2 linked regions of the Caenorhabditis elegans genome follow. The protein of the gene in region 2 purifies or fractionates together with the protein of the main gene of each other region. This does not show direct contact. Each region holds a gene or a part of one and is shown on either strand. Other genes may lie near its edges. The genes, in order: nssp-76 and T01G1.2.

What was found.
Region 1: the proteins of T01G1.2 (region 2) and nssp-76 fractionate together in Caenorhabditis elegans (co-fractionation; one large-scale study listed by BioGRID). This does not show direct contact.

Annotation. Positions count from the first base shown.
Region 1 is NC_003284.9:2,442,214-2,445,626, forward strand, and holds nssp-76 (Activin_recp domain-containing protein), read right to left. Parts: upstream 1,192-3,413; coding exon 757-1,191; downstream 1-756.
Region 2 is NC_003282.8:11,352,849-11,355,905, reverse strand, and holds T01G1.2 (uncharacterized protein), read right to left. Parts: upstream 1,499-3,057; 5' UTR 1,471-1,498; coding exon 1,318-1,470; intron 1,272-1,317; coding exon 1,105-1,271; intron 1,054-1,104; coding exon 939-1,053; intron 883-938; coding exon 844-882; 3' UTR 501-843; downstream 1-500. Other genes in the region: Kinesin-like protein klp-12, read left to right, coding at 354-491.

The sequences.
Region 1 (3,413 bases), on a different chromosome or scaffold from region 2:
TAACTTTTTTGTTCAATATGTACCGAAAGTATGTGGTTTTCTTTTTTAAATCTGATAAAACTATGGAATTCACGTCAAAATTTCAATACAACGTTTTCAAGGTGTCTCTGTGGCTTTGGAAAATAAAACTGCGAATATTCATTGTCAGATTGAGTTTTACAGTTTAGAAATCACAGAACAAATTCTGTTGAACAAATCTACATATTAAATTTTTGTAATGCAATTGAAACCGGCCAATTGAGAATTAGCTTCGGAATATTTGCCTCCAACTCTAAATGTTTCCAACTAAACCCTGCCTTGCGGCAGTTTTCTTGAAATCAGCTTATATATTTGTTGATAGATATTGCGTCTACCACAAAAAACTTAAAGCAATATTACATCTAAAAATTGTACTTAAAACTCCATTTTATAGTAACATACAAGTAATTTTATTATAAAAATATAATTGGATTAAATGAAGAAATGCTTTTGTTAACTGGTGCTCAAGTTAAACAATTAAATAGCTGTTAGCAAACATTTCCAAATTTCTCTATTAGAACAATTCTAAAATATTTGAAAGGACATCTTGAATACTACAAAGTGATTTATTAAAAACAATTTTTGAAAATGAAATGATAACCCGTTACAACAAAAATGACAAAAACAATATTTGCATGCTATTAAATTTAGCGATGTAAAATTAAAAAGAAAAACTTGTTTGAAGAAGAAAGCACCATGTAAAGGGAAGTTTGAGTGGTTTGATTTCTATGTGGCATATCAATTAATGTTCAATAATACTGGGAAAATAATAAGAATAGAGGTGAAAAGAGCTAGGGAAGTTTGTCGAACCGAGTTGCACATGTCATCAGCACAGCAGCAGATTTCACCTTTCTTACCGTAATCTCTGCTTTTCCGGCAATATTCTCCAGTCTTCTTTTGTTGCCATCCAGTGTAAGTTGGATCGTCGATTCCTTGGCAATCCACTTTATCGCATCCCATCGAGTATCCATTCTTCTTTCTTTCATCTGGGTCCGAATATGTTGCCCTCACACAATATTGCGAAGAAGTGTGGCAAATGTCTGGATTGATTCTTAGTAAGTGACCATCTTCCCAAATTCGATGGTACAGTCGACACTTCAAAGCATTCGTACCGAAATTGGAAATAGCAGCGAATAAAACGAGCAAAACAAGGACACGTCGGCAGTGCGGCATGGATGCTTCTTTGACTAGAAGTGAAATGTGGGGCTTCATGAATATGTTAGTCCGGGCACTATATGTCGCAAAGGCACGAGAATGTACAACCCCAAAATGGGCGGAGATAAAAACAGAAAAGCATGATATATCAGAAGAATGTCGCCATTTCACGCTATTTTTAGGGAGCTTCTGAGCATCGAAAAAAGCTTGGGGGAGAATGGAAAAGTGTGACCGGAGATCTCAGAACTGTGACAAAAATAATGTTTGGTTCAAAAGTTCATGAAAATGAAATTTCTCTATTCCGTTTTCTGTTAAATCTTATGCTATAACAAATTTTAAGTTAATTAGTCTTGTTATTAATTTAAAATTATTTTTCTGAAAGAGCAGTAAACATTGTGCTGAAATTGAATGAATTTTGTATTGGAAATTTTAAAAAATGTCCGCACATTTTTCATGACAGTTTAAAGTTAAAAAAGGCCTAATTTCAGCTAAAAACTCCAATTTTGACCACTCTTCCATGTCGCAGAGGTCCGAGGTTAATTTTTTCTTGTTTGCATTTCAATGCATATTTTGGTGGTTTATCTAGTGTTTTTTGTTGATCAAGGCTACTTGAAACTGATAGGTAACTAAAAAGGATCGACATTAGTTACTTATCCGCTTTAAATGTACCTTAATCAACAAAATTTTATGAGATAAACTACCAAAATATGCAATAGAGGATGATTATTCAAAAAAGTCAACGTTTGGATCACTGCTACCCGAAAAAGTGGCGAAAATTTGAGATTTCAGCTTAAACTATGCTATATTTTAGATCATTTTTAACTGCCATAAAAAAATTATAAAAACCTTTTTTGAAGCTTTATTACGATAATTGTTCATTGCAATACATTTTCAAAATATGTTCAAACTGTAATATGATCTACTCTTAATAAGATTATTAAGGGAAATTATGAAAAACTGCCAACAACTACGCAAAATATCAAAATCAGGGACCTAGCCCAGCAGCTACACAGAACTGCTTGTTTCAGAATGGTAATCAATTTTTTTGAAACTAAAACTAATTAAAATCTAAGAATTAATAACATAAAAGTAAATGTTTGTTTGGTCGGAAAATATGATTTATTCTTGTGTGAAATTGCAAAACTTGCCTAAAATAGTGTTTGAAATTGGCAGGTTGCCGAAATTGCCAGTTGTTGGCACTTTTTTGGCAACTGGCAACTTACCAACACTATTTGACATCTTTTTGAAACTTTTCCATAGCCTTATTTTTTTCGAATTAACTAAATTATTCGGCTTACTTCTCTTTAAAATTTGAATTTAACTGTGTGACAGTAGAACTCAAAATAATAGCTTGAAATTAGTTTGTAAATTCCTTCTATAAACGTTTTAATATGACCCTGTAAAACAGAATTGAACAAAAAACCACCATCAAGATGAAATTTCAATCGTTTAATTTTGCAAAGATTTACATTTTTTCAACCCAGTTGCTTTGAAGAAAACAACTTATTTTCATAAAATATTGGGTATTTTTTATTCATGTTTTTTCTGGTTCTCAAATCAAAAACCTATCGTAGTTAAAATAAATCGCAAAAAAAATCAGAACACGAAACCGCATTTTTAAAAATGTTCAAATAAACCAAACTTACATATATAACCCATTTTGTTTGTTTCGGTGTATTATGTTTTTATTTACGCGTATATATATGCCTTTGTAAATTGAATGTTTAACATTTCTGTACTTTTTTAAAATTCATTTATTTGTAAGTTATCCCGGTGAAAATTAAATGCATTTTAAAATTAGTTCAAATGAGTTTTGCAAACCAAGTTTACTTATATCATGCCCGTTAGACAGCCCGTTGCATTTTGCAAAAAATGATGCTCTTTCAAAACATGTTAAGAAATCATTCTAAAATTGAAATAGTAAAAACACCGGATTGTTTTTCCTGTAAAGCAAAGCATTCTTGCTCATTCACCACAATGCCACATTATTGTGCTTCTTCGTTTCACAGTCTGCACAACAAAAACCCAATCATTCACGTGTTTCTGAACCTTGTTTTGTTTTTGGGAACCAAGCAGCTTCACACCACATTTAAGGAAAAGATTCATGTACACCAAGAGACGTGGAAAAAAAAGAAGAAGAAGTAAGAAACACAAAGGAGTACTGGAAAGCAAATGAACGGTGGGTGTTGTGTGGGAAAAAGACAAGGATAAATAGACATGAAAAAAAAGATGCGGAAAAA
Region 2 (3,057 bases):
AAAAACAGATTTCACAAAAAAAAATCATCGAAAAATTGCAAATTGGAGAAAGAAAATTTTCGATTTTTGAAAAACAAATGTTTCATCAAATTTTGTTTTAGTTGGTGAAAAAACATAATTTACTTCTGAAAAAAAGAAAAATGACCAATATTTTACTTTTTTTCGAAAGTATCGTATAAGCGAAAAAACGAATTTCAAAAAATTTTTATTTTAAAAATCTGAAAAAATTTAAAATGATTGTTTATCGGTTTTATCGGAAAAAAAATCTGGATTACTTTGAAAATTATTGAAATGTCGGTATTTTTTCAAAAGATTGAAAAACTGACATTGTTTAAAATTTAAATATTTTTCAGGAAAAGCAATTCACTCAATCACAAGATGTAATTTATCGTGATGGACTTTTAGAAGCAATTGACAGTGCAAAACAGAAGCTTCAATATGTTCAAGATCAAATCACATATCAACAAAAACTAATTTGCGATGTTGATGAGGTAAGAGTATATTCAAAAGCTTATTTATTTGCAAAAAATAAAATATTTAAAAATCGTGCACAAAACGGGTTAAAAATGGAAATTTCGGAAGAATTCGGATATGAACCGAAGAAGGGGGAACAAATGATACAAACAAATGAAAAATGGAAAATTTTCAGAAAAGGAGGGAAAAGGGAATGAAGTGAATGTTTTTTTCGCAAAAAAAAACAGAAAAATTAGATTTTTGAGTTTATCTTTTTAAATTTGATTGAGTGGGGGGAAGGAAGAAATTAAGAGTGTTGTTTTGATGATCGCTACCCGATATGGACAAAAAAGAATAGAGTGAAGTTGAAAAAGGTGATCCGTGAGATGATTAGGATGGAATGGAACCACGTGTTCCAGTGACTAAGACCTGGAATATATAAATTATTGAAATAAAATTATTTTGTATTTACTAGAAATACTAACCTGCGTTGGACAGTCGTCTGCGCTCATTCCCGCCGCAATTGATCGTTTACTAACTCGTGCTCCGATTGTAGATCGACGTTGTGAAAGATCTGGAAGTGGCTCCGGTTCTTGTGGGCTGAAAGTATTAGTAATTGGAAATTGGATAAGAAATCTATCTGAATATTACTTTTTCGCTCTTCTGTAGGTCATGATAGTGAGAAGCATGAAGAGAATCGCACAGATACCAGCGGCCGATGCGAAGACAGCTCGACGCCATCCATTTTCACGACTAAATGCGGCTAACCAGATGCTGATCGCAACACTTATCAATAGTCCCATCACACATAAGAAGAGCTGAAAAACGTTCAAAAATGTTCTTTTCTGAAAGTTTTCAACTCACCTGTCCACCTGGTGTGATTCGTGAGTGGGATTGTGATGGTGCAGTAAGAATTTGCTTGATCGGAGTTTTATATACTTCTTGGGAGAAACTTGTCTTCATCTGAACACTGGTACGCTTCTCATTCAGCTTATTTGATCTATCGTTCGACGTCATTTCGGGCAACACTTGAGTGAAACTGAAAAAAAAACGAGTGATATGAATTTTGGATGTAGACTGAGATATAAAAATAAGCCAATTGAAACATTAAAGTGCTTCGTAAAACATTGTTGATCGTTGTTGATGGGATTGATCATATGATTCTAGATGTTCACTAGGTTTAAACTTTCAAAAAATTTCAAAGAAAAAAAGACCAGTATAAAGTCAAAAAGAAAACCGGAGGAAAAACGAGTGATGGAGGCGGAGCTAATGTGGCCATCATCATCATCATCATCACACGAGACGATGCTCTTTTCCTCTTTTCACACTCTATCACTCTTAGTATCTTTCTTCAGTCTCAGGCACATCTCAAAGAAGACATGATGATGTGTGCTCACTCCTCGTGTATGCTCTTTATCTTTATTTGAGGTTCAGAGAAGTGAAAGAAAAGAGATAACGACTCTGGAGGGTCTCTGGATTGTTTTTGATGGAAATTAGTGGAAAAATAATGATATTCTAGTTTAATATCCTACACCAAAGTTTCATTTTATCAATTTTGGATTCGCATCGAAATTTGATAAAGTTTTGTGTGATTATCCATAGATCTACAGTAATCCAAAAACTATAGGCTATTTTCGGATTCAAGTAAGATGGTCTAGACTAGATTAGGCCGAGTTTACCCGTTCTAGATGCCATTGTCTTCATCAAAATTTCAGCTGTTTTCCAATTCTGGGTCTTGGTTTGACTCGGTTGTTTTCATGAGAACCTATGACTATTAACACACTAAATGTGAAGAGGAGACCGAATCGAAAAAGCGAAATATGCAATATTTACGACTTGATCTTTTCAGAATTTCGGAAAAAAAAATTCATGAAATATTCAAATGCGTACTATAACCACACGCTATATAAAGAAAATGAACTTGTGTTCCTAGAAATCAAATGATATGTGAGGTAAACAGAAAGGTCTTTCGTTGAAAACAATCTTTCTTTGTTGAAAATCAAAAAAAATGCATCTCAGAGAAACTAGACTAGGATATGCAAATTATAATATAGATACACTACAGTAGATGTGTCACTACCAGAAGTTTGAAAAGAAATTGTTCTTCGTGGAATTGACATTTAAAAAAGAAGTTTCCATTTCAAGAAGTTGAGAATAAAAAGCTGAGTAAAGAAATGGAGGGAGAAGAAGTGCTAGAGGGGTTCATCAATTCGGACATACAAACACTCAGTCGAAATAGAAGATGAAGAAAAAGAAGGAGAAGGATGAGTTGCGAATTGAAATTAGGCATCGGTTGAGTGAGCACGCAAAAAGAATTGAGGAGCACACTGGGGATGGATGGGCTCATTTTTCTGAACCCGGACTTTTCGAAGAAAAACACCGTACGGGTTACTGTACTTGGTTCAATTTCGAATGTCTAGATCAAAAGTTGTCAAGTTCTGCTTCGGTAACCTTAGAACACAAAGAGTCTTCTGTTGAGAACAACCTTTGGCTCCAGGAGCTCTGCTGATTGCCTGATCTGCCGCTTGCTCTACTGACGACTCGTCAGCCTAACACAGCTCAGAATAGATACTTTTTTCCATCGTTTCTCCTGCTCTCAGCCTA